Linked DNA regions of Callithrix jacchus. The protein of the gene in region 2 purifies or fractionates together with the protein of the main gene of each other region. This does not show direct contact. Links are inferred from orthologs where the notes say so. Each region holds a gene or a part of one and is shown on either strand. Other genes may lie near its edges. The genes, in order: TCP11L2, tubulin alpha-1A chain, BAG2, TXNDC9, HAX1, DNAJA1 and DNAJB6.

The links.
Region 1: the proteins of tubulin alpha-1A chain (region 2) and TCP11L2 purify together in Homo sapiens (affinity purification with mass spectrometry; 3 studies listed by BioGRID and IntAct, counting the BioPlex papers as one, with this or other methods). This does not show direct contact. The link is inferred for Callithrix jacchus from reciprocal best matches to the Homo sapiens genes TUBA1A and TCP11L2.
Region 3: the proteins of tubulin alpha-1A chain (region 2) and BAG2 purify together in Homo sapiens (affinity purification with mass spectrometry; 4 studies listed by BioGRID and IntAct, with this or other methods). This does not show direct contact. The link is inferred for Callithrix jacchus from reciprocal best matches to the Homo sapiens genes TUBA1A and BAG2.
Region 4: the proteins of tubulin alpha-1A chain (region 2) and TXNDC9 purify together in Homo sapiens (affinity purification with mass spectrometry; 3 studies listed by BioGRID and IntAct, counting the BioPlex papers as one, with this or other methods). This does not show direct contact. The link is inferred for Callithrix jacchus from reciprocal best matches to the Homo sapiens genes TUBA1A and TXNDC9.
Region 5: the proteins of tubulin alpha-1A chain (region 2) and HAX1 purify together in Homo sapiens (affinity purification with mass spectrometry; 3 studies listed by BioGRID and IntAct, with this or other methods). This does not show direct contact. The link is inferred for Callithrix jacchus from reciprocal best matches to the Homo sapiens genes TUBA1A and HAX1.
Region 6: the proteins of tubulin alpha-1A chain (region 2) and DNAJA1 purify together in Homo sapiens (affinity purification with mass spectrometry; 3 studies listed by BioGRID and IntAct, with this or other methods). This does not show direct contact. The link is inferred for Callithrix jacchus from reciprocal best matches to the Homo sapiens genes TUBA1A and DNAJA1.
Region 7: the proteins of tubulin alpha-1A chain (region 2) and DNAJB6 purify together in Homo sapiens (pull-down; 3 studies listed by BioGRID and IntAct, with this or other methods). This does not show direct contact. The link is inferred for Callithrix jacchus from reciprocal best matches to the Homo sapiens genes TUBA1A and DNAJB6.

Annotation. Positions count from the first base shown.
Region 1 is NC_133510.1:109,182,468-109,185,967, forward strand, and holds part of TCP11L2 (T-complex protein 11-like protein 2), read left to right. Parts: intron 1-2,533; coding exon 2,534-2,654; intron 2,655-3,500. UniProt on the Homo sapiens protein: Promotes the migration of muscle-derived satellite cells (MDSCs) during differentiation throught interaction with FMNL2 and therefore may participate in microfilament assembly.
Region 2 is NC_133510.1:70,370,387-70,374,506, reverse strand, and holds the start of tubulin alpha-1A chain, read right to left. Parts: upstream 2,801-4,120; 5' UTR 2,706-2,800; coding exon 2,703-2,705; intron 632-2,702; coding exon 409-631; intron 284-408; coding exon 135-283; intron 1-134. UniProt on the Homo sapiens protein: Tubulin is the major constituent of microtubules, a cylinder consisting of laterally associated linear protofilaments composed of alpha- and beta-tubulin heterodimers.
Region 3 is NC_133505.1:65,548,568-65,552,067, reverse strand, and holds part of BAG2 (BAG family molecular chaperone regulator 2), read right to left. Parts: intron 250-3,500; coding exon 140-249; intron 1-139. UniProt on the Homo sapiens protein: Co-chaperone for HSP70 and HSC70 chaperone proteins. Acts as a nucleotide-exchange factor (NEF) promoting the release of ADP from the HSP70 and HSC70 proteins thereby triggering client/substrate protein release.
Region 4 is NC_133515.1:8,929,975-8,934,270, forward strand, and holds the start of TXNDC9 (thioredoxin domain-containing protein 9), read right to left. Parts: upstream 2,801-4,296; 5' UTR 2,706-2,800; intron 1-2,705. Other genes in the region: EIF5B (eukaryotic translation initiation factor 5B), read left to right, coding at 3,970-4,004. UniProt on the Homo sapiens protein: Significantly diminishes the chaperonin TCP1 complex ATPase activity, thus negatively impacts protein folding, including that of actin or tubulin.
Region 5 is NC_133519.1:14,693,611-14,697,668, reverse strand, and holds the start of HAX1 (HCLS1-associated protein X-1), read right to left. Parts: upstream 2,801-4,058; 5' UTR 2,718-2,800; coding exon 2,665-2,717; intron 2,124-2,664; coding exon 1,873-2,123; intron 1,722-1,872; coding exon 1,510-1,721; intron 1-1,509. UniProt on the Homo sapiens protein: Recruits the Arp2/3 complex to the cell cortex and regulates reorganization of the cortical actin cytoskeleton via its interaction with KCNC3 and the Arp2/3 complex. Slows down the rate of inactivation of KCNC3 channels. Promotes GNA13-mediated cell migration.
Region 6 is NC_133502.1:140,224,980-140,228,479, reverse strand, and holds part of DNAJA1 (dnaJ homolog subfamily A member 1), read right to left. Parts: intron 1,182-3,500; coding exon 1,067-1,181; intron 1-1,066.
Region 7 is NC_133512.1:90,847,109-90,850,608, forward strand, and holds the end of DNAJB6 (dnaJ homolog subfamily B member 6), read right to left. Parts: intron 1,607-3,500; coding exon 1,447-1,606; 3' UTR 186-1,446; downstream 1-185. UniProt on the Homo sapiens protein: Has a stimulatory effect on the ATPase activity of HSP70 in a dose-dependent and time-dependent manner and hence acts as a co-chaperone of HSP70. Plays an indispensable role in the organization of KRT8/KRT18 filaments.

The DNA.
Region 1 (3,500 bases), about 39 Mb from region 2:
GCGCCACCACACCTGGCTAATCTTTGTATTTTTTAGTAGAGACAGGATTTCACCATATTGAACAGGCTGGTCTCAAACTCCTAACCTCATGATCCGCCTGCCATGGCCTCCCAAAATGCTGGGATTACAGCCGTGAGCCACTGTGCCCAGCCCACTTCTTCTTTTTGAATTTCTTTTCCCAGACCTTCACGTGGTTCTTTCCCTCTCCCCCTTCAAGTCTGAACACAAAGGTCACTGACTTAAAGAGGCCTTAAGATGGTTACATCCAATGAAATCAGCACCCTCTCCATAACCGTCCACCACATTGTCTTACTGTATCATTCTCGTAGGTCTAAAATTGTCATTCATTTTTAATGTGTTTGCCTTTTTATCCATGCTTACATACAAATGCAGTCTTTTCACTGCAGTATCTGCAGTTCCTATTACAGGGCCCCACATATATTGGATGTTCAATAAACATTTATTGACTAATACAAATGAATTTTAAAGTTAAAATTTGTATTTTTTATGAAGTAAAACAAAAGACAGGGCATATCTGTACTTTAAATTCAAAAGTGGTAAATACAGGCCATAGTGAAGGTGCTTTAGGCTCAGACAGACCCTGGGGTTTGAATCCTGGCTTTACTGAGGCCATACCTGAACTTCACACTTCCCAAGGATAAGATGGGGACTACACTACTCACTTCAAATGCATGCTCACTAGCATAAAATTGCCTTGCACAAAAATACTTTGATACTATGGAAAATATTGATCTTTCTTCCCTTCAGTTTCTGCCACGGCTAGAAAACGTGAGCAAGGGAAACAAAGTGCAGAGTTAGGACACATTGCCTTTGTTTAAAAATAAAGTCTCAGCCGGGCACAGTGGCTCACACCTGTAATCCCAGCACTTTGGGAGGCTGAAGTGGTGGATGACCTGAGTTCAGGAGTTCAAGACCAGCCTGCCCAACATGGTAAAACTCTGTCTCTACTAAAAATACAAAAATTAGCTGGGTGTGGTGGTGTGTGCCTGTAATCCCAGCTACTCGGAAGGCTGAGGCATGAGAATCACTTGGACGCAGGAGGCAGAGTCTGCTGTAAGCTGAGATTGTGTCACTGCACTCCAGCCTGGGCAACAGAGCAAGACCCTGTCTCAAAAAAATAAATAAATAAAGTCTCATATCACAGTATTAACTATTGATTTTCATATGACCCTCCACAATGGCCACGTTTTTCCTTTTTTGATTATGGCTAACTCATATTTTATCAAATATTTTCCTGGTAAAATCCATCAGGTTTTACCAGGAAATAATAGGAATGCTTATAAATGATTTTAAGCAAGTCCCTCCCTGCCCCCATACTTTCCCAGAAAATTAAAGAGATACAAAGTACCTTGCAGACTTTAGGAAAACTTAAATTTCAACTCTGACGTCCCTTAGGGACCTATAAAAATGTTTTAGCTCATTTCTTGTTGTTCATTCAAGCCAGGTATGTATGGCTTATAAAGTCAAGAGCAAAAGTCCATCCTAGCAATGTTTGCCTTTCTCGTTGTTCTGGAGTGTTCCTGGAGAGTCTCAAACTTTGGAAATGGCATTTATATTGAACAAATTTCCTCATGCAATTAGAATAAGTTTTAATATTTAAAATTGCCGAGTAGAATGTAATATTTGTAGTTACAAACTTTAACTCATGTTTCGAAAGCTAATTTTCCTCTTTCATAGCATTATTGTATATGTAGCTATTTATACTTTAAGAAGAAAAATTAGGAGATATACTTATCAAATTATGAATTCATTCACCATGCATTTGTCAAGTACTCACTATATATCAGGCACTGTGTTAGGCACAATGGTAAGTACCTAGATGGACTTACAGACTCTGCTTGGGAAAGGTATATCTCTGTGGGAAAACAGCTTCATCAGAAATTACAGTGCAGAGACATAGGTGGTTCCCTAAAAGCTGTTGCTAAATGGCATAGGAGTTAGGTAGGAATGTGTATTTTAATGTGCACCTATTTTAAGGCATTGACATAAAGGGTGAAGCCAAGTAGCCACTTATTCTATTGTAAGCTCTTCCTAGGAAGGCTTCTATTTTGGCAGTTTGGTCTGGCTGTCTTTAAATGGGACACCTAAGCTTTAGCTGGCAGGCGTTCAAATGCATGTGCCCTTGGGGCTAATGTGTTCTAGTCCATGCCATGAAATTTCAGCTGGTGAGGAAGAGCAACTTTGCCATCTCATTCCAAAAATGTAGAACAAGTCTGAAGATCTATATAGAAGAGTAGATACATAAATTTTGAAATCTCTTTAGGACAGAATTTTATGAAGTTATTGAAAGCATTTTCAAGGTCTAGGGAAAACAGTACAGAATGCTAAATGAAAAGTACACTCTGTTAATGCATTCAACAAGAAACATATTCAAAAGATTAATAATGGGATTAAGGGCAATTGCTCTGCTTTTTAAAATATTTTCTAAGATTTCTACAGTGAGGATATTTCTTGTATAATCAGGAAAAACAATGATGATTATTTTAAACAACAATCCCTTTCATTGCTATAGTTTGGCTGGTCGCGTGAAGCACATTGTTCACCAGGCCTTCTGGGACGTCTTGGCTTCAGAACTAAATGCTGACCCTCCTGAGTTTGAACATGCCATCAAACTGTTCGAAGAAATCAGAGAGGCAAGTTGCTGTTTCGTTTGCGTCAGTTAGTGTCTTACTCCAGGTGGGCTGCTGTAACAGACTGGCATAGCCTGGGTGGCTTATGAACAATATAAATTTATTTCTCACAGTACTGGAGGTTAGGAAGTCCAAGATCAGAGCACCAGCAGATTTGGCATCTGGTGAGGGCTCATTTCCTGAGTGAGCTCATAGGTGGTGCCTTCTTGCTGTGTCCTCACATGGCAGAAAGGTCAAAGCAGCACTTCAGTGTCTCTTTATAAGGGTACAATTCCATTCATGTGGACCTCACCCTTATGACTTAATCACCTCCCAAAGGCCTCACCTCCTAATTCCATTCCATTGGGGATTGGGTTTCAACATACGAATTTGGTGACAGAAGAAAACACAGATATTGAAAGTATAGCAGTTTTTTCCCCAAAAGATTGTTTTATGTCCTTTAGTATTGGCCACTCTTTTTCACTGGCAGGGTTTACCTTATCCTGCCCCTCCTGGAGTAGAATGAAGGCTGAGAAAATAGTGCCGTGGACACAGCTTAGAGTGATGCTTATAACACAGAGACTCTGGAGTTAGATTGTTGTCCTGGTTTAGTGATGAGTTCTCTCTTTAAGTCTCTATTTCCTGAGTACTTACAGGGTAGTCATAAGAGCTAAATGAGGTGACGGTTGTAATTTTAGTTAACATTTGCAAGGCACTTGCTCTATTTCAAGCACTAGATTGCTCATTTCTTCTTCTTTTTTTTTTTGAGACAGAGTTTTGCTCTTGTTACCCAGGCTGGAGTGCAATGGCGCGATCTTGGCTCACTACAACCTTCGCCTCTTGGGTTCAGGCAATTCTCCTGCCTCAGCC
Region 2 (4,120 bases):
CGAGATCACACCATTGCACTCCAGCTTGGGTAACAAGAGCAAAACTCTGTCTCAAAAAAAAAAAAAAAACCAGCATTATTTCAAATGTCCTTTTAAGGCAGATTAATTTACTTTATTCTTGAAAAGAAACATACCAGTTTACGAATTCGGTCCAACACAAGGTCAATGATCTCCTTGCCGATGGTGTAGTGCCCTCGGGCATAGTTATTGGCAGCATCTTCCTTGCCTGTGATGAGCTGTTCAGGGTGGAAGAGCTGGCGGTAGGTGCCAGTGCGAACTTCATCTGGAGGAGGAGGGAGAGAAGGACAGAGGGACTGGGCAAGTGAGCGAGTGACCAGCAGATCCCCCAGGACAGACCTCCTGTCCCAGCACCCTGGGATCTCACTTGGGTTACCGAGGCCAACTCACCAATGACCGTGGGTTCCAGGTCTACAAACACTGCCCGGGGCACGTGCTTGCCAGCACCCGTCTCACTGAAGAAGGTGTTGAAGGAGTCATCTCCTCCCCCAATGGTCTTGTCACTTGGCATCTGGCCATCGGGCTGGATGCCATGTTCCAGGCAGTAGAGCTCCCAGCAGGCATTGCCAATCTGGACACCAGCCTGGCCAACATGGATGGAGATGCACTCACGCTGTAGGAAGGAAAAGTGAAAAAAATTGTATAATTAAGCTGTATTAGCATTTCAAACTTTGAGTACATTTCTAAAAATATTTCTAATAACATACAGGTATTTTTCAAAATTATTTGAGGTCATATCCCCAGCATGCTACAAAGATTAAGGAAAATTATCTGCTACAAATGCTGCATATGGTGTGGTCTGAATAACAATGTCGCCTTGGCCCTGTTCAGCACATGGTACCAGCCCATTGTTCTTACTACCTTGCTTGAATAGTAGAAGACTTTTCATATTTAAAAAGTATTCCGCATTCGAAGCACAAATTTTGTAAAATAAAGTAAATCCAATCATGACTTAATTGGGATTAATTGTACTGCTTTGTTTGCTTTTAAATAAAGATTAAAGTTTCTTCTGAATAGGACTTGATATTGTAACAGGGACATCTGTACTGCCGCTGAGGCAAGAAGCCACACCCTTCCGCAGTCTGTCTGCAGAATCCATCAATACCAAGGGTTTAGAAGCTAGACAAGGTCTGCCTTCTGCATTGCTGCATTGCTGTATTTGCAGTGCCTGGTGCTAGCCTGTACTGTCTGCTACATTATTTAACAGAGCAAGCTCTATTTCCAGCAACTGCCTACATGATCTCATTGTGCTGTTTTGCCAGTTTTCCTCCTCTGACCCAGCCCAGGACCATGTGCCTGAATTGAAATGAATTAATGAAGATTCACTAGAACAAAGGACAACGGGATACAGAATATAATCCTTCTTTGTCTATAGCAATTTCATCACTTTTCTTTTTTAAAAAAGGTTTTTCCAGATCTTCTCCATTGTAAAAGCTGAAAAATTATCTGTATCTTAAAAAAAAAAAATACAAAAAGGTTCCTAAGTTAGAAAGAAGCATCACATAAGCTACCAAAGAATAAAAGCCCAGTGGAAGGATAATGAAATATTTATTTAAAAAAACAAAATAGTATTTTCATCTTGAGATTCTTCACCTACCACATAATATTAATATTCTTTGCATCCAATAGAGGTTTTCTTCCTCTGTGGTCTTTAGGGCTACCACTTCCATTGTCTATTCACTGACGTGGTGGGGGCTGGCGGCGGGGAAGGGCGTTTCCTAGATCCTGACTATCAGGGTAACCCGGGAGCTCACAAAGTGGGCTTTCTCTCTCGCTGAACATGCAGCCCAGACACCCAGACACCCAGACACACACACACACACACACACACACACACACGCTCTCTCTCGCTCTCTCTGTCTGTCTCCAGTCGGTCAGGGCAGACGTTGAAGAGCTTGCCAAGTGAATTGTGATTTTGCTCAAGAAAAAAAAAAGTCATCTAACATATAATAGTGAAGAACCCTTTTGGAGCCTACAGTTTCGCAATAACGAAAGGCGTTTCTTAAAGTCTGCGACTGACAGAGGAGGTTCAGTGAGGGCGAACCCCGCCCCGTGGCTCCATCGCCCTAGAAGCCAGAAACAAACAACTCCGCCCCTGCGCCTCCCTGACACCCGCTGCCGGGGGCTCCGGCAGAAACTCACTGTATTTTCCCGGGAAAAAACGCCAACGACCGCGAGGGGTCTTCCCACGCTAACCCCAGGCTGCGCTTTGTTCCCGTCCCCGCTCCCGCATCCCCCAGCTCCACGGTCCCCGCTCTTTTTGGACACCTCCTCCTCTCGCGGTCCTCAGAGAACGACGCGAGACGGAAGAGGCCCCTCGGGGGCAACGAAACCGGGCGCACAGCCACGGGGCCCAGCCGGGACGCCCCAGACCCCTCGGTCGCGGCAGACAGGCTGGGGCTGTCCTCAGCCCCGAAAGGCTCTCGGACGACACAGGCGCCCAGGCGCCGCCTTTGTCCCTCCCCAGCGCTTGGCTGAGCCCTGGGCGCAGTCCTTGCCTGGATCCTGCACCCCCACTGCGGCGGTGGCGGCGGGGCTTGAGGACTTGGGGCAGACAAAGCTAAAGCACACGACGATCCTCGCCCAGACAGCTTACGAAAGAAAAGTGCTTAAAAGTTTTCCAAGTAGACCCTGGGGGCGCTGACTCCACCCAACCGCCACAAAGAGCGGAAGCCGATTCTCACCATGGTTGCTGCTTCGCGGCTGCCGAGCAGATGGCGGAGACGAGGAGAAGTTGTTGCTTCTTACAGCGCGACTCTTAGGCGGTCGATGTAAGAGAACCTGAGGCACATGGGCGGATGCGGCTCCCTATATACAACTCGGTCGCCATGGGGATGGGCTGGGGCCTTTTCCTGTTGGTCCAGACCCCCAATCTGCCCAGAGAAGTCATGACAGGAGACTGGTGATTGGTGCAAACGACGTGGGATGAGGTAATCTCTCCCCCACCCTTTTTTCTCTAGCATCCATAGACTGTTTGCATCCTTTAGACAAAGAGACCGTGCAGAAGCAGTCTGCCGAGCATCCATTATGGGGTGGGGTTGGGGAGGGGCGGAAGGAGAAGAAAGGGGACTGGGTTGGAAGACTTTATATTGCTTGAATCTCAAACTGCGGTTAAAATTATCTATATGAGGGTTTTTTTACCCTACACTTAATAACAGAATTTGTGTTCAGATGCAATATTTAGAGGAAAATTACTGCCAGCCCCTCCTCGTAGTATATTAGACTTGACTACATTTTGTTTTGTTAGGGTTCAGCGTCTCTAATTGCTTTAAAAATAAAGTGGGAGAGAAAATGGGCGTGATTGCTGAAAATGGCTTGGGTAAATGTGATTTTTTTTAATTTAAAAAAATATTTATTAATACAATCATTCAAAATGGTTTCTCAGGTTCAACTAATTTATTTTCAGACCTTCTTTTGCAGGCACACGCACACCCAAATAGCTAAACAAAACTGGAAGATGGGCAGAATAACCATACTAAATAAAGAAGCGAACACATAGTTCTAATATGGCACTAAACAATAGCTAGTGAACGCAGAGTAGTTATAATAGTTTATTAGAGGTATTCCTTTATGAGAAGTCTATGTAACACATTTTGTGTGGTACATTGTCCTTGGAATGCATCATCTTTCCTGATATAGAATTGGGAAAATACAAGGAGAAATAATTGAGTTCACAAGTTAGTCCTACATGTGTGCAGTTATATTTATGCATTGTACTTTTGTCTGAAAAGTAGCAAACAAAATAATAATTACCAAGAAACCAAATTTAAAAGAAGAGAATAACATAATGTAAAAAGCAGACCATTTTGCTATGTTGCCTCCATCCACAGACAACGGTGAAACATCAGCTCAATAACTGCATTTCCTTTTTATGTAGTTCTTATGTCAATTTGGTAAATATCCTCCTGCAGGTGGATTCTAACTGTGGGAATTTTAGCCAGCCTCACACCCTTGCTATTCAACTAGAGACTCTGGTGGTTGCTCAGTTGCCTCTTGGGACAAAAAGGCTTTGCTTTCACCCATAGGAAATAAATTGTAGTAACATTCTCTTGCTATTTAGAAAGGCTTCATTCTCAGCAATGATGTGCTATGCAGAATAAGT
Region 3 (3,500 bases), on a different chromosome or scaffold from region 2:
AGCTGCTCTCTGCGGCTCACATTAAATGCTGTGGCCTAGAGCACACATACCAAAAGTCAAGCAAAAATTTACCCACACTTATCACAAACTCTTTAAAGCAGTGTAAAAGACGAGCCCCTTCTGTGGAGATGACTCTCACCGTCACTGATCTGCCTCATGTCCTGGCTGTTTTGGATACTGTGGATCATTTCCAGAAGGATTTCTTTCTCTTGCTCAACAGCAGTTGCTGCTTCTCTCAAAGCTTCAACCCTATGGAAATTGGGGAAAAAAAACCAGTTACTGTATGGAGGATGTTCTTCCTGTTAATTTTCTTTCTCTCTCATTTCAGCCCAAATCAAGTTTAAAGATCACCACTTTTCAAAAATTCTTCATTCTTGCTTTAAAATTCTTTTTCTATTTTTATCCATTTGTCTTTCTCCCATTTCCTCTCAGCTCATAAGGTAATCATTCTCTTTACTGTTTGTCTAATAGCACTTATTTTTTTTATTAGATCTGTATCATTTGTATATTTTGAATTTATATCTCATTCTGTTTTTGCTTTTTTTCACTTTGCATCCAGGTTCTTATGAGTACTTTTTTTTTGAGACAGAGTCTTGCTTTGTCACCCAGCTGGAGCACACTGACACGATCTCACTGCATCCTCCACCCGCTGGGTTTAAGTGATTCTTGTGCCTCAGCCTCCAGGCCCGGCTAATTTTTGTATTTTTACTAGAGACGGGATTTCACCATGTTGGCCAGGCTGGTCTCAAACTCCTGAACTCAAATGATCTGCCCGTTGCAGACTTCCAAAGTGCTGGGATTCAGGTGTGAGCCACCGCACCCAGCCCCCATGTGAACTTCTAATCAGTTGCTTCTAATTGCTGTATAATACCCCATGCGTACACCTACCTGATTTTTCCTCTCCACTCTCCCAGAGATGTACAATCAGGTTGTCTACCAGATTCTCATTACACTATAAATAACACTTCTATGAATAAACATCCCTTTTGGACCTTGGTGAGGATTTCCTTAGGACATATACCAGGGCAGCATTGCTGAGACACGGGGTATATGTACTATGCTTCTAACTTAGTACTACGATTATTCTGCAGAATACCTGTATTCTTCATCCACTCTCCACAGCAAAGCACAGGAGTCCTCGTATCCTTACCAGCACTCCACATTTTCCAACTTACTACCAGTCTAATAGAAATACACTGATATGTCAGTGTTAACGTGCATTTTCCTAATAATTTCAGACATCTTTTTGTATCGTTAGCCTGTTCATAGACTTTTCCTATTTTGTTTTTCTATTTGTAAACAGGAGTTACTGTCCCCTTGTTGATATGTATACTCAAGAGATTCTTATTGGACACAGATATTGCAACCATCTCTCATCCTCTCATATAGGCCCCATGTCTGGGATGTCTTACACTAAAGAGAGACATTTATTTTGAGGTGATCAAATCCATTTTTTTTTTTTTTTTTTGCTTTAAGGCTTATGCTTTCGAAGTTTTGACCTAAGGTCTTCCCCCACCCCTTGGTCATATTTTCCTACTATTAACTTTCTAGTTCTACCTTCCTTATATTTATGTCTTTAATCCACCTAGAATCAACCCTTGTATGTAGTAGTTCGGTAAGGATGTTGTTTTATTTTTTTTTCCCAAATAGCCATTTTCCCCAACATTATTTACCAAACAATCCATCTTTCCCCTAGCAAATGTATATTAAGTTTATCTCTAAAATCTCTATCTCATGCATTAGTATATTTAACTGTTCTTATACCAGTGCCCAGTTTTTTTTTTTTTAATAGCACCAGCCTCATACTACATTTTACTATTTGGTAGAGCAGGCCCCTCAATCTTCTTTAAAGATAACTTAGCTATTTATGGACTTTTATATCTCCATATAAACTCTAGGCTAAATTTATTGTGTTTCTCAAAAATCAAGAGAAATTAGACATCTTTATAACATCATTCTGTTAAAGGGCGTGATCTATGTCTCTTCATTTATTCAGATCGTCTATAGAGTTCTGATGTATTCTTCATAGTAATCTTTGTGGATATTGTTGCTGTTGTGAATTTATATTTTCTAGTTGATTTTTACTGGTTTGAGAAGTGCTGGTTTTGTAGGTTTATCTCGTCGCTGACGACCTTAATTTACATATACTCATTTTAGTGTTCAGTCTATTGATTCTGTTGGTTCTTCTGGGTTAATGATCGTATCATCTGCAGTAGTTTTTATTTCTTCCTTCCCAATCCTATTACCTTTTTTTTTTTTAAGAAAAGGTCCTCCAGTCTTCCAGTACTGTATTAAACAGTGGCAATGATGGAAGTGTCTTTGTCTTTTCCCAAGTTTAAGGGAAAGTCCCTGTGGTTTTTTTGTGTGTTAAGTCCTGTTCAAACTATAGAAGCACTACTTTCTCCACCTCCCTCAACTGCACACACATGCACTCACTATACATACACATGAATATACCCAGTCACTAAAAAGCTAAGCTGTGGAATCATGGGAGCAACATAAAAATACACATATTGTATATTTAACCTGTTCTGTACTTCCAGGGCACCTTCTTATTATGAATTACAGTAACTAAGTCACCAACTTTTGCAAAATGAAATAGTGACAGACCTATCCCCAGTATTTGGATGGTCTGAGAAAATACAAGGTCATAAAGATCTAATCCTAATTGCTGTCTTAAGTGTGCACAGAAAGAACAACTTCACCAATGTTTTAGCATGTTCAATTCCATAAAAGGATCCTCCCCTACCCCAAGCACACACATGCCTTTTCCCCCTTTGGTTACCCACCTATTATACCCCAAAATAGTACTGACAGGCTGTAAAATCACAAGGTATCTTTATTCTTCAAGATATTAAACACATGTCAATCAATGAGAGCTTGTTATGTTGCTCAGGTTGGCCTTGAACTCATGGCCTCGCCTCCTCAAGTGCCAGGACAACTGGGCGGAGCCACCGCGGCCCCCAAAACTCATGTCAAACTTTGTGTTTATAAGAGCCAGTAAAAGCAAAGAACTGGGAAGAATCTCGTGACAAATTTGGCTAGAGAACACACTCAAATTACAATATTCTACAGAGTAATAGTAATGCAAGTATCAGGCCCTATTACAGGACTATTCCCTATTTACTTAAACATTTTACATTAGCAGTCTTTCAGAAAGATAAACTAGGGCCCAGAATGTAAGAAAGAGACCGAGTTGGCAATGAATACTTATACTAAAAGCACAAATCATGACCCCAATAAGTATTTAGACAAATGACACAGGTAAATCATGTGACTGGTAAAGAGAAGATGCTGAAAGAAGAGATTAATTTTTCAACACTTTTTTGGTTTGTATTCAATTGTAAGATGACAAAGAGAGAACAATGTTATTCTGAAAAGGAAAGTTTCATTTACTAGTTATAGCAGTCAGATCATGTTGTTAACAAAATAAGATAAAAAAGACATTCTAGGAAAAAAAATAAGCCTGTCATATGAAGAAAATATTTTATCATTAAATG
Region 4 (4,296 bases), on a different chromosome or scaffold from region 2:
GAGAAATGAGTTGTGAAGTTATACCTAGTGATATAGACGGACATTCAGTGTTCTTTACCAACAGAAAAGAGAAATCAGAAACAACTGCGAACAATAGGAAGGTACAGCTACTGTGGTTTTACAAATATATATATTAAACTTTAAACAGACACAGAGTAGAGTTGAGCAAAACACAGATTTTTTTCACAGTCACTACCCAAATGAGTTTCATTTCCAGACATTTAGTTTCCTAAAACGTCTCATTACCATTTATGTAAAGAACAGTGCCTGGTGTTCCCTAAGCATCAATGTCCATTCTTGTTCTCCTATTACCTAACAAAAAAAAATCGACGAGGCTAAAAAATTAATATTGGTTTCCATTTACTGACAGTGTTCTTAACTTTGATGTAAAACACTCCAAACACTTAAAAAAAATTTTTTCCCCATCATCACTCCTCTGTGCAAAATAAGAGTTTCAAAATATAACTAATCCAGATTAGAAAGAAAGACCTATCTCAATTAGAGTCATGCATCACTTCACAATGAGAATACATTCTAGGCTGGGTGCCATGGCTCACACCTGTAATCCCAGCACATTGGGAGGCCAAGCTGGACAGACTGCTTGAGTTCAGGAGTTTGAGACCAGTCTGGTCTCAAACATGGTAAAACCCTGTCTCTACTAAAAATAGAAAAATTAGCAGGCAAGGTGGTGTGAGCCTCTAGCCCAGCTACTAGGGAGACTGAGATGGGAGGAGGATAGCTTGAGCCCAGGAGGCCAAGGTTGCAGTGGGCTGAGATCACACCATTTCCACTCCATCCTGGGCCATAGAGCTAGATCCTGTCTCAAAAAACAAAAACCCATAAAACAATGGGAATACATTCTGAGAAATGTGTGCATTAGGTGATTTTGATGTTGTTCAAACATCATAGACTGTATTTTTTTTTTTTTTTTTTTTGAGACGGAGTTTCGTTCTTGTTACCCAGGCTGGAGTGCAATGGCGCGATCTCAGCTCACTGCAACCTTCGGAGAGGTTCTCCTGCAATTCCCAGGAGAACTACCTCCTGGGTTCAGGCAATTCTCCTGCCTCAGCCTCCTGAGTAGCTGGGATTACAGGCACGCGCCACCATGCCCAGCTAATTTTTTGTATTTTTAGTAGAGACGGGGTTTCACCATGTTGACCAGGATGGTCTCGATCTCTTGACCTCGTGATCCACCTGCCTCGGCCTCCCAAAGTGCTGGGATTACAGGCGTGAGCCACCGCGCCCAACCATAGACTGTATTTACACAACCCAGAAGGTGCAGCCTGCTACACACCGAGGTTATACCATACAGCCTATTACTCCTAGGTTACAAATCTGTACAGCATGTTACCGTACTGAATACTGTAGGCAACTGTAACATAATGGCATTTGTGTATCTAAACATAGAAAAGGTACAATAAAATACAGTATTATAATCTCATAAAACTGAAATGTCCTTACGTGACACATGACTATATGCTTTAAAAGAAATGGAGCATTTTCTACTAGCAATTAGTAGAAACTTTAATTTTAAAAGAAATGGGAATATTTTATACCAACAATTAGAGGGCAATTTTATGTGTCTCTCGGGGTTATTAACCCAGAAATTATTTATAATTTGTCTAACAAAGCAGAAGGCTGTTGCATGTCTATAAACTACGATACGTTTGCAAATACTACCGAAGCACCCAAAATTTCATAACAGAGTGTGAATTCATTAACTCAGCTTCTGACACAGATCATGACCCACACAGGCCCTCTATAAACGCTGAGCTGAAGAGAAATATTCTTGCAAACTTCAATTCTGATTCCTTCTTCTTTACAGGAAAAGCATTTGAAAAGTATACTTGATTTCATCTTTGTATCGCCACAGAACACAAAAGGTACTCAATAAACATGTTTAATGTTGAATGAACATTTGCCTCGCTTCCGTTCAAATTACTACGCTGTTAAGTTTCAAAAGTATTTGAGTTTAAAAAACCAAATTGTAAGCTCCTTGTAAGTGCTATAAAATTGGAAAGGTACTGTATTTCAAATAGCAAAAGATTTCCACACTTCCTACTGCCCAAGGAAAATGTCAGTAGGACTGCGACCCTCAGGGAGAGGGCTGGAAGGAGAAAATAAGTTACTGAATTATACATTAGAACCTGTGCTCCAGAGATAAGCACAGAGAATGCTTTAAGGATGAGGCCAGAATTTAATTCTGGGATAAATGGAAACAGAAGCGATTAAGAGCAGGTATTCTGGGGGTAAGTGTTGGTGGTTAGAGCATTGAGAACCGGGTAAGCAGACCATGCAACAACTCCGTTAGCTTTTTATTCGTCAAACCACAGCCTCTGATTCTTCCTTTTTACTACTCCGCTGGAAAGGTGGGACACAGCGCGTCCTCAAATTCCCTAGTCATTTCCTGGACATCCTTACAGGTATCCGCCAAAACAATCAAGGGGCCTGGTCCCTAACCGCACCCAGGTACCTCCCCAATGGCAACCCAGTGCCCGGGGAGACGGGGGAGGGCACAGTCCCGGCGGCCCCAACTTCAACGCCTGCTCGTGCGCATGTGCGAGAGCCTCCGAAGGACACCAACACCGGTGCCGGTGCCGGTGCCGGGGCCTCGGGGCCCCCCCCCGCTCCGGATGTGGAGCAACGTAGTGTCCACCAGCACCCGGACGTAGTGGTCGGATTTTGCTCATTATCCTCTGCCTCACCTGAGCTCTCGGTGATGCCTGAGAAGTGAGAGAGCAGCAGTTTCAAAAGAGAGGTCCACTCTAGCTTTAGCCTTGCAATACCTGCCGGCAGCTACAAACCAGCCGTCACTTCCGCCTCCGTATTGGCTGCGGACCTCGCGCGATATCACCTTGGACGCCCGAGGAAGGGGCGGGAGAGCGGGTGGGAGCAGTTCTGCGCGTGCGCCTGCCGCTCAGCAGCCCGGAACCCGAGGTTTTCGGCCCTTGCTTTTCTCCCGGTACACGGCCGAACTGGAAGGCATGCTGGGAGTTGCAGTTTTTTAGTGCGCAGGCTGGCGTGGTCGGACTTTCTCAGGACGGTGCTTCAGAACTCACGATCCAGTGCGCGAGACTGGAAATGAGACAGCTGCACTCCTGCTCAGCAATGACGCTCGAACTGCGTTTCCGTTCTGTTGAATGAACATTTTTCTTTTTCTTAAAGTCGAGGCATAAACACATACAGCACAATTACCTTCTGCATAGTTAAAACGCAAAATATCACCGTCCAGATCCAGATATAGAACATTTTCCACTACTCCTGTAGGTTCCCCCTTGCCTCCCCTAAACACAGGAATTTTTAGAACTTGCTCTTGCTTTGAGCATAAAAATGAAGACCTATGTTAGGGAATTGATCGGGTATGTCCTGTTCTATGTTTTATTCAGTGACTGTACATAATGCATAATGCACGGATGTTACTGAGAGGTTCCTATTTTGTCCTGGATTTGTCTCTCTCTCTCGCAAACCCCAGAGTACTCATTATCGTTCTTTACTGAACTTCGTACAGCTGAGAATACAAAGATATAAAGGGAAGCCCAGGCCTACTCCTGAATCAAAGCGTGCGTTACCCGTCGGGAGAGGGCTGGGTTGGAGAACTAACAGCTTCATTGTCCACCTCCGGGTTCTAGAACCTGGAATCCGCGCGGGCGTCGGCTTGTGGCGGACGCTTTTCGGGGAGGGGGCGCTCGGGCTCCTGCCTGGCCGACGGGTCAACTAAAGACGCTCTACCCGAAGCGCAGCTCTCGATGAGCCGCGCCCTGCGTCCTCACGCCGAAGCGGCGGGGCGATGCGCTTGCGCACTGAGAATTCACACCATATGTGCCCTGTTCCAGTGCGCGGGTCTGTGGAGAGCCGGGTGCGAGCGGCGGCAGCACTTGGGGAAAGGAGCTGAGCGGAGACCAAAGTGAGCCAGGAGACAGTGGGTCTGCTGGAGACCGAATAGAGGGGCCGAGCGCCAGTTGACAAGCAATGGGGAAGAAACAGAAAAACAAGAGCGAAGACAGGTAGCTAGGGGTTGAGTGCGTACGGCGGCGGCCGCCGTGGCTCTGGGGGGTGTGCGGGTCTCGCCGGGCGCGGGGTTGGATCGGGGTCCAGGCTCGCGACCACTCTCGTGCGGCACTGGGCCAGGGCCCAGACTGGGCGGCGCGGGCCCACGCCCCCGGGCCGGGCGGGCACTTAGGGCCTAGACGGCGGGCGGATCCTCCCAGCCGAGCCTCGGTCCCGTAGCTATCTTTTCCCCGGCCTGAGGAGCGGGACAGTCATTTGAGGGTTCCCGGCCGCGCCGGGAGGGTCGGA
Region 5 (4,058 bases), on a different chromosome or scaffold from region 2:
GGACAGAGAATTCCATTCAGAATAGCTCTATTTACCCACTGTTTCCTCCTTCCTGGCTGTTTTATATATCCTTCTACCAGAAAAATTTCCTCAACTAATATATTCCTATCCTCTGTGCACAATCCTGCCTTATCCAAGAATTATGTAGACCAGTGGTATTTTTGTTTTGTTTTTTTAAGAAACAGAACACCCATTTCCCTCTAAAAAAAAACCCCATGAGCTTAATATAGAAAACATATAAACACACTAAATGGGGGGCTAGGATTCCAACCCAAAGCTATCAGATTCAAACAAGAAATGCAATCTTTGGCCAGGCACAATGGCTCATGCTTCTAATCCCAGCACTTTGGAAGGTTGAGGCAGGTGGATCGCCTGAGGTCAGGAGCTCGAAAGTAGCCTGGCCAACATGATGAAACCTCATCTCTACCAGAAATACAAAAATTAGCTGGGTGTTTGGGGGGTGACTATAATCCCAGCTCCTCAGGGGGATGAGGTAGGAGAATCACTTGATCCTGGGAATCAGAGGTTGCAGTAAGCTGAGAACATGCAACTGCCCTCCAGCCTCGGTGAAAGAGCAAGATTCGTTCTCAAAAAAAAAAAAAAAGTCCAATATTTGCACCCTTTTTGCACCTTTTTTCCCCTTCCACCTCCTGGGTTCAAGCGATTCTCCTGCCTCAGCCCAGATAGCTGGGATTACAGGCATGTACCACCATGCCTGGCTAATTTTTTTGTAGTTTAAGTAGAGAAGGGGTTTCACCATGTTGATCAGGCTGGTCTTGAACTCCTAACCTTGTGATCTGCCCACCTCCCAAAGTGGGCTGGGATTACAGGCGTGAGCCATTGTACCTGGCCTTTTTTTTTTTTTTTTTTTTTGAGACAGTCTTACTCTATCACCCAGGCTGGAGAGCAGTGGCATGATCTCAGCTCACTGAAATGTCCTTGTCCTGGGTTCAAGCAATTATCCTGCCTCAGCCTCCCAAGTAGCTGGGACTACAGGGGCACACCACCACATCCAGCTAATTTTTTATTTTTATTAGAGATGGGGTTTCACCATGTTAGCCAGGCTGGTGTCAAATGCCTGACCTCAGGTGATCCTCCTGTCTCTGGGATTACAGGCGTGAGCCACTACACCTGGCCTTTTATTTATTTATTTTTTTTGAGATGAAGTCTTGCTCTTGTCGCCTAGGCTGGAGTGCAATGGTGTGATCTCAGCTCACTGCAACCTCTGCCTCCTGGGTTCAAGCCCCTCTCCTGCCTTGGCCTCCTGAGTAGCTGGGAAAACAGGTGCCTGCCACCACAACCTACTAATTTTTTGTATTTTTGGCAGAGATGGTATTTCACCATGTTGACCAGGCTGGTCTCTAACTCTTCACTTCAGGTGATCCGCCTGTCTCAGCCTCCTAAAGTGCTGGGATTACAGGCGTTAAGCTACCGCACCTGGCCAATCTTTGCACTTTTAATTAGTAGTCTCTCACAAGCTCTCACTTCAGGCCCAGATGGGATACTCACCCTATGAAATGGTCTCTGGAAGCCCCAGTATGGTGTTGGTTTGGGGGATTCACTTCTTGCATCACTCTCCAAGACCCCCCCAAAGATCCTGGGCTGGTGACTATCTGGATACTTAAGCATTGAGTCCCGAAGTGTTTGTCCCTCCCGCAGTCTCTCACCAGGTGTCTCTGACTCAGGACCTGGAAGTTCTGCAGAAAGGTGGCAGGTGTTTGCTGGGGTGGGAAAGAACTTGGGCTGTATACATCTCCCTGAAATTATCCATCTTCTCACACGTCCCATCCCCCAGCTACTCCCTGCAGGCTCTTTATTTCACCCACCAACCCACTAGAAACCACAGGTTGTGCCTCAGGGAAAGCCACACACCAGGAAGATGAGAAGGCAAGGTCCAGGCCCCCATATGGCTGAAGATGCTATTGAAATCTCGTACTAGGTCATCAAAGCCGAAGTTATCATGTAAACGTATCCCTCCTCCTGGGCTGAAGCTGAAGCCAAATTCCTCAGGGGGCTGAGGACTATCGAACCTGGGGTTCCCACGGCCCCATGCGCCTCCTTCTTCCTCTTCCTCCTCATCATCTTCATCTCGAGTCATCCCTCCAAAAAAGGGATCTCTGTGGCTGAGAGTGGAGGCAGATTGGCCACCAAGATTTCAGCACGACTTAAGCCATAAAATCAACTCATGGGTGGCAAAGTGGGACAAGAGCAAGCGATTTGGGAAGCTGGGGAGAGGGTCGGAGGGCTGGCTGCCACATCAAAATATTAATACAATGTCCGACAGTTCTGGTTTTGTTTTTTATCAAAGTCAGACCTCAGCTCGCAACTCCCTTCAAACACCTTTCCCCAGTTTTCCTTAAGTGTGCCCCAGCCCCTCCCCTCTCTCCCAAGGTCCTGGTCACAAGCCCGCTGTCCTCTTCCCCAGACCCCAATTGTCTATCCCGCCCGGGTCCTTGTTGCATCACCCCAGGTTGGAGAAAGGCTTAGTTTGCTGTTTCTCCTCTTAACGACCACCCTGGTTACTGTGGCGGGGCGAGTGCTCAATGTTACGACTTCACAGGGGTTGAAGGAGTAGGCCAGAGGATGTTTTCCCAAAAATAAGACGTAAGGGGTCAAACTCTTCTCAGACGACCTCACCCTTGTCCGACCCGGACCTACTCTCACCTCCGAGGTCCAGGAAAGCCGAAAAAGCCCCGGAAGAGATCAAAGAGGCTCATTCCCGTATTGGCACTCGAACATTTAAACCCCTCCACTGGCCGATTCGCAGAAGAGTGAAACCTGCGCAGCCCCGTAGGAAAACGAGCGAGACGTCAGCCCACGCTGCCGGAAAGCAAGCCCGCGCGCGATCCGAATACTGTCGTAAAAGACTGTAAGTCGGACGTGAAAGGGAGACAGAGCGGAAGGTCTTCCTCAAATTTCAGAGGCTTTATCTTTACCCCACCTTTTAGAGGCCAGTTTCCGTGACAGGAGTGGGCGTGACGGACGTTCAGTTTACCTATGACCGCCTTCCTCTTAAATCTGTTCTCCTTTCTGCAGACCAACTCGGTCCGGAAAGCAATTTCGAGGGTTTGACTCTGGAAGGCACCCGGATAAAGCCGCCAGAGGGCCTCCCAGCCGCACAAATGGGCCGGCTTGAGGGCATCCCTCAAACCTCCCCACCCCCGGTGCTGGCCAGCCTCACCGCCGAAACCACCTCGCCCCTTACTCCGAAGCTTTTGACTGACCTGGGTGATGTCTGCTGTTAGAGGGATGAACAAAAAAATGTTTCTCCAAGCTCCTTTTAGTATTGAATTCCCCAGAGAAGAGATCAAGACATAAGTGACACATAGACTTCATCTCTCTAGCTACTAGGGAGTTTGTTATAACCATACAGGATTTTTTTGGGGTGGGGAGACGGAGTCTCTGTCACCCGGGCTGGAGTGCAGTGGCGCAATCTCGGCTCACTGCAACCTCCGCCTCCCGGGTTCAAACGATTCTGCTGCTTCAGCCTCCCGAGTAGCCGAGACTACAGGCGCGTGCCACCACATCCGGCTAATTTTTTTGTATTTTTAGTAGAGACGGGTTTCAGAGCCAGGATGGTCTCGATCTCCTGACCTCGTGATTCTTCCTTCTCGACCTCCCCAAGTGTTGGAATTACAGGCGCGAGTCACCGCGACTGGCCAGGATTTTTTTTTCTAAGCAGGCTGTCTGCAACCAACCAAAGGATTTTTAAGAAAGCGAGTGAAAGGAAGCTAGTTGAATCCTGAGAAGGGACAAATTGAGGACTATAAAGAAGTGTCCCTTTTTTTTTTTTTTTTTTGAGATAAGAGTTTCCTAGGCTAGAGTGCAGTGGCGCCATCTCGGCTTACTGCAATGTCTCCCTCCCGGGTTCAAGTGATTCTCCTGCCTCAGTCCCCCGAGTAGCTGGGATTAGAGGCCCCAGCCACCAAGCCCTACCTTGGTTATTTTTTATAGAGACAGGGTTTCACCATATCGAACTCCTGACCTCAGGTGATCCACCCACCTCGGCATCCCAAAGTGCATTAGCCACTGTGCCTGGCCTCATTTTTTTTTTTTTC
Region 6 (3,500 bases), on a different chromosome or scaffold from region 2:
AATTTCTGTATTTTTAACAGAGATGGCATTTCACCATGTTGGCCAGGCTGGTCTCAAACTCCCAACCTCAGGTGATCCACCTGCCTTGGCCTCCCAAAGTGTTGAGACTACAGGTGTGAGCCACCACCAGCCAAAATATTAATAATTCTAAACAAGTTTAAGATGTTCCCAATTTCACCTCCAGTCCACTTAAAAAAAAAAAAAAAAGATGGGCTCTGTCACCCAAGCTATAATGCAGTGGCATGATCATAACCTTCAACTCCTGAGTTCAAGCCACTCTCCTGCCTTGGCCTCCCCAATAGCTAGAATTCCTGGCCTCAAGTGATCCTCCCACCTCAGCCTCCCAAGTTGCTGGGAATATAGCATACACAGAGGGTCTGTTATGTTTTGATATTAGCTGTGAATATATTTAACACAAACATTTGCTATTAACCATCAGTCTTTCTTGTGCTTCAGTGTTAAGTTCATCATAAACTTGGTATTATTTAGTTCACAATGGTAGACCTGAATTTTTTTTTTTTTTTTTTTTTTTAATTGTGTTGATGCTCTTTACCATTTGGTATGTTTTTGGAGTGGACCTGAATTTATACTTAAATATTGAGTTCTAATTTAAGTTTCCTACAGAGATGCTTTTGGGTATTTACAATTAAAAGCAATTCAATTTATCTTAAACTTAGGATTGAAAATTGGTGAAAGCTTTAAGGCACTTACTTTAAATTGTTTTACAAAAACTGAGGGCAAACTTTTGTCCAGGGATGTTTTCCCCCAGCCATTTGGTGTTTAGGTTCACACAAAACATCTAACTGAAACACATTTTCAATGTTCCATACTCAAGAGACAAAAAGCTAAAAATCTGATCCCATGTATTCAAGCTCTTATGATTCAAACAATGGTTAACAATCTATTACAAGATACATTATACACAGTATAACTGTCTTGCTATATTTTCCTAGCATATCTCCAGGAAATATGTTGCAACAGTAATGGTAAACACATTATAAACAACCAAAACCAACAACCCAAATATGTAAAGATGTCAATTTGAATGGTTTATAAAATTCTTTACCGAGTAAAAACAGCATGGTCCTTCTGATCTAACACAATGATTATATCTCCTGGCTCCAGTCCTGGTTCTTGGTCTCCTTCACCATGGAATGTTATCTTCTGGCCATCTTTCATGCCTTAAAACATTAATTTTATACTCTTAAGGTCAGAATAATAAAATCTATACATAGATGTTTATGCATAAAAATCACAGAAATGACTAAGAAAGCCCACTTTCTTAGTAGTTCAGTCCAATCTGTGCCTGAAGAAAGGTATCATAGTGGGAAATACAAACTCTAGAAGCAAGGACCAGCCTTCAAATCTCAGGGCTGCTATTCACTGGCTGGATTACTCTGGGAAAGTAAGCTGCATATCCTACCCAAGTTTCAACTTTCCCACACCAACACATTATGATTGTCAAGTGTATCAACTAAACAGTTATAAGCTGGTACTAAACCAGTGACTGGCAAACATTGGTTATAACCAAAAAATGTTAATTAACTATTTCAATTTCATTACTTATAAGAACATATCAAACTACTTAAGTCTAACAGCAATGTAAATCAAGACCCTTCTCACTGTTGTAGTATTTATATATATGAAACTAGAAAAATTTAAAATCTATAATCTTAATTCTTGAGATAGGCTATTGCTCTGTTGTGCACGCTGGAGTGCAGTGGCACAAACATGGCTCACTGCAGCCTTGATCTCCTGGGCTCAAGTGATCCTCCCACTTCAGCATCCTGAGTAGATAGGACCACAAACCAGCTAATTTTTGAATTTTTTTTAAAATAGAGATAGAGATTCTCATTATGTTGCTCAGGCTGGTGTTGAACTCCTGGACTCAAGGGATCCTCCTGCCTTGGCCACCTATAGGGTTAGGATTATAGGTGTGAGTCATGGTGCCTGCCAAAAATTCGTATTTTTGTGTAAGAACTATTCAGTTTGGCCGAGCACGGTGGCTCAGACCTGTAATCCCAGCACTTTGGGAGGCAGAGGCGGGCGGGCAACACGGTGAAACCCCATCTCTACTAAAATAAAAAAAAAATTAGATGGGCGTGGCAGCATGTGCCTGTAGTCTCACCTACTTGGGAGGCCAAGGCAGGAGAATTGCAAGAACCCAGGAGGCGGAGGTTGCAGTGAGCTGAGATTGTGCCACTGCACTCCAGCCTGGGCAACAGAGCAAGACTGCATCTCAAAACAAACAATAAAACAAACAAAAAAAACCTATTCAATTTGTTCCCCTTAAAATTACACTTTGGGGAGGCCGAGTCAGGAGGCTAGCCTGAGAATAGCACCCTGGACCACAGGAGTTCGAGACCTTGTCTCCTTTAAATTAACAAAAAAAAAAAAAAAAAAAAAGAAAAAGAAAAAGAAAAAAAAAATCAATCAAAACTAGACACTCCCTTAGCTCATATGGTCCATAAAATACAAGGAGAGTATTTATTTTCTAACAGGGCAAGAAATTTTTAAACAGGCTTTTTTTTTAAAAAACTAAGATTTCCCCAGCCCTCACCTCTGACCCACATATTTTAGTTCAGTAAGGGTTTGGACAACATTTCTTAAAACATAACTGGTGTAAGAAAACCTGTGTTTGTACAGTATTACACCGAAGCAGTTATCTCCTGATTATTTCCTGAGATCACTCTGGTTATCTAACAGAGCAATCTTGTTTCACCTTTTAGTATGGAAAATATTAATCCTGTATAAACAGAGCCAACAGTACAATGAATTTCTACATATCCATTCAATCTGGCTTCAGCAGTTATTAACTCATGATTAATATTTCATGTATTATACCCCTGCCCATGCCCCCCACAAATACTTTCAAGTAAACCCCAACCATAACCATTAACCCAAATACTTCACTGTTTACCTCTTATATAAAGACTTAAAGCAATATCAGTATCATACACTAACAAAATTAAACAATCTGTCTTTAATCGCCTATCCATGCAAAATAACTTGTTATGCTAGTGAAGCAATTAAACTCAGCTAGGTTTTCCTGAATAAAAACAAGGATAGGCATAGCACAAATGTCTTCACTTGCTACATAGTTAGGGTATTAATTTAAAGTCCTTGCTTAGTGTCCATCATTGATAGGTTCTTGGAAATTGCTTTAAATGAAATGACACATAACAAGACCATTTTTCCCCCTCCCCTGTGTTATAGTGACATGACATTGAGATCAATTTGCCAGAAGTCCCAGTTTCCAAGAACCTATCAACAACATTAAGTGAAGACTTACTCTATATGCTATTGGTATCAAGAACACCTCAAAATATAAACCCTAGGCATGGGCCCATTAAGGGGAAAACAGATTTATTAAGTTCAAAAACTGGCCAAGGAAACTTACTTTTACATTTCAATGCACTACATTCTTAGGTGGAAAACCTTGGGGGATCAGAGAGGCCAGTATCATGAGTCATGTGATAGAATCCTATTGCAGCCACTTA
Region 7 (3,500 bases), on a different chromosome or scaffold from region 2:
GGTGATCTGCCCACCTTGGCCTCCCAAAATGCTGGGATTGTCACACCTTCACCTTGCAGTGATGCATTTCAGAAACAAGACTTCTGCCTGCAAAATGCCACTTTATCCTTCATAATGCTGATGCTGCAGGACTGCTTTTACTCTTAATTCATCTTAATGGTGCTTACAGAGGACGGCAGGTGAGCTGTATTCAATATGCTCATGTTTTATTTACGTAGGTGGCACTTAAGATACATGATGCATTGAGAGTTACATTGTCCGCAGAAAGCATCAGATACCACTCCGCTCCCCCCAAAACCAAACAAACGAAGCCAACTCTTGGGCAACAGGTGTGCTAAATAAAATCACAGATCGCGCCTGTTTCCGGCTCCCAAGCCTGGGTCAGTGCTCCATAGATAGTGACAAAGAATTCCCAGCTTCAACATCGCTAGATTAAAACTGCTGACGTCTTCACATCACACCCAAGCCTCTCACAGCACCCTCACGTCCCAGAGGACAAAGGAAAAGCAACAGGAACAGCAGGTCCTCATGGGAAAGGGAAGGACAGTGGGCGGCGGGGGCCGGGGGGGGGGCGTGCAGGGAAGAAGGGAAGGCAAGGCAACCCCGAATTCCGCTCCATGCTCAGTAACGATAAAAAGAGAAGCCGCAGTACACGATGCAAATGAAAGGGCTGCTGGCAGTGGGCAGGGCAGCATCTAGTCAGAGTGCGGTGACTTTGCTCACAAGCTGAACACTGGCTCAACCTCCTGGTGCCATCTCTGGGTGTTTGGGGCATGTGTCATGACCTGCCGTTTTCCCCAGCACAGTCGTGACCCAGGAACACTAGGGAGGGGGCTGCTGAGCAAAAACCTTTTGCTAAAAAGAATTATGGATCCCAGGAAAAAAACGTGGAATCTAGCAAGACCTACACAATATCTGAAGTTGAATTTGGACTACCAGCAGATGGAAACTAAAAGATGAAGCACAGGAATGATTTTACATGTGCTGTGATTGATGATGCTGTTCATGTGGCCATGTTGCCCTGAGGAAAAGGTGCCCTGGCCGCCAGGATTCAGTGCGTCCCTTAGGGCATTCTCTAAGTCACACTCTACTGAATTACCCTCTAATTCCAAACACAGCACCGCCACAGGAAAGCGCGTGGTTTAGTGAAAGCCCTCGGCTGTCTGCCCTGCTGTTCCCCTAATGCTACAAAGACCCCAGCAGCATGCGGAGTGGTTGCATGGCCGAAAAGAATGAAGAGGATCCGGAAGCTCTAGAGGAAAACTCTGGCAGATTGAGTGCTGGGAGAGGCAGATGGAGAGCCACGGCCACGCCCCGTCCCCAGTGTCCATGCCCGCCACCCGCACCATCAGCCCCACCTCCTGACCCCTGCCCTGACTGATCGGTGATTGCATAATCCTGCTGAGCGAGTATAGCCGCCAGACAGTCCTGACCCCACGCTGCTACCTAGCGCGTGCACATGGCCGCGCGCCGAGCATGGTGGAGCGCCAGCTCTGGGGGCAGCGCGCGCCTGCAAGTCCAGTCTAGTGATTGCCTTTGGCCGACTTCTTCTTCTTCGACTCCTCTCTCTGCTTCTGCTTCTTCCTCTTGCCACCTTCTTTGAATCCTAAGGAAACACGGCTTGTAAAACACGGTGCGGAACAGCACTGCTTCCCCAGTAAGAGCCAAATGTGTTTTCTAAGTATCTCCCCATGTTAAGAACAAAAAGCAAAGAAGTGAGGTCATCTGCCTCAGCCACACCTAAAACTCAAAGCCTGAGCTGACTTTCCAAGGTGCATGTCGAGAACGGCTCCCATTATTCAGAGAACTTCACCACCCTGCAGAGAAGTGAGCGACTCCCCCTACCCGAGTTCAGCGGCAGAGCTGGAAGCCCACCCTGGGGACGGCCACACCTCAGGGCCAGGACCCTGCCCTGGGCCCTCCTTCAGAACACACACGGGGCTTGCGCAGAGCCACGTCCACCTGTGGGGAGGGTGCCCACAACATCTCCTCCGCTCCCCCAGCGCTGGCCACACAGTGAGGCCTTTCTGCAGGCAAAGCCTTGCTGTGCACCGGCCTCATGCTTGTGGGCTCTGTGGCATCCAGCGTCAAAGTCCCATTTCTTGCTTGAGGGAAGTAACCTTGCGTCTCCCTGTTGCCGAAGTCACCGGCGGCCACTGACTGACCCAGCTGAAGTGCAGGGAGAAAGACACCCACCCTCTGAACAGTCGATGCAACATGCCACCAATAAAGGCCTGGTTGCAGCCCTGCCGACATAGTCTCAGACTCTGCATGTGTCCACGTGGGTGCAGGAGACGGTCCTGCTGTTGAGTCAGGCAACTGTCAACCTGAGTGACGTGACTGAGCACAGGGCTCATGACCGGCAGCAGGCAGGTGGAACTGGGTCCCACATGCATGGGCCCCCGACCTGCCAGGAGGACCCTCTGAAGACCCGCACAACAACCCCCAAAGTGGCGGCATGCCCCACAGGGAGGAGCCTGCTCACAACCCTCTTGGGGACCCAAGACCCCACCCACACTCAGGACTCGCCCCAGAGAATCACAGCCATAGGTGGGCCAGGTACCCGGCTTCAACCAGACACATTTTCCCTGCCCAGCAGATGGCCGCCACACTGACCAATATGTCACAGGGTGCAGGCCCACCAAATGTGGCTCGCACACATGCTGCACCACAGTGGGGAAGACACATGCGGACTCTCAAATGTGCTGTGGCTCTCACCTCAGAGCACTGCCCGGACCCAACAGCTCTCCACGGAAGGGGACGTGCATGTAGATAGGGATGAGCCTGCAGGTCCAGTCCACACCCGCAGCCACGCAACATGCCACACTCACCCGCGGCCTGTGCGTGGCAGAGACTGCCACCTTAGGGTGCTTTCCATGCAAGCGGGTGCATCCTGACCGCCCTACAGGAGCAGCACAAGATACACGTGCTGTGAAACACCAGGCCTTCCATGCTGCGTGTTTAGGAGAGTGCGCCTCAGTTACAGAAAGGAACAGAGCGGGCTACGTGCCACTGGCCGCTGTGCAGAGGCCACCAAGGACCTGCTTCCAAAGTCAGGAGGCGGCTCTTTGGAAAAGGCAGAGGAAAGGAAGCGGGAGAAGCCAGGAGATGCCCCACCTGAGGGGCGTGTGGGGAGCCTCGGGGCGAGTAAGTTTGGTATTTTGAGGAGTGTATCTCAAGTGAGAGCTCATTTCCAACCTAAAAAAAATCATGCCCTAGACCCGCCCAGGCCTGGGGGCCGCACACCTGGCTGAGTCCTGAGTGGAAGCTTGCTTACTCCCGGGAGCTCAGACAGGACCTGCTCCACGCAGGGACCAGTCAGACGGCTGGAGGCAACAGCAGGAGCCGTCAGCCCTGCCGGGGAGGACGGGCCTGTTTCAAGGACCTTGCCCAGGACTTGCAAATCCCGCAAAAAGACGAGAGGGGGATCTTCCAGGCACCCAGAGGCCTGGCCAAGAGTCACAAGTTTTCTGTGACAAGGGGCTCCAGGGAAAACAAGC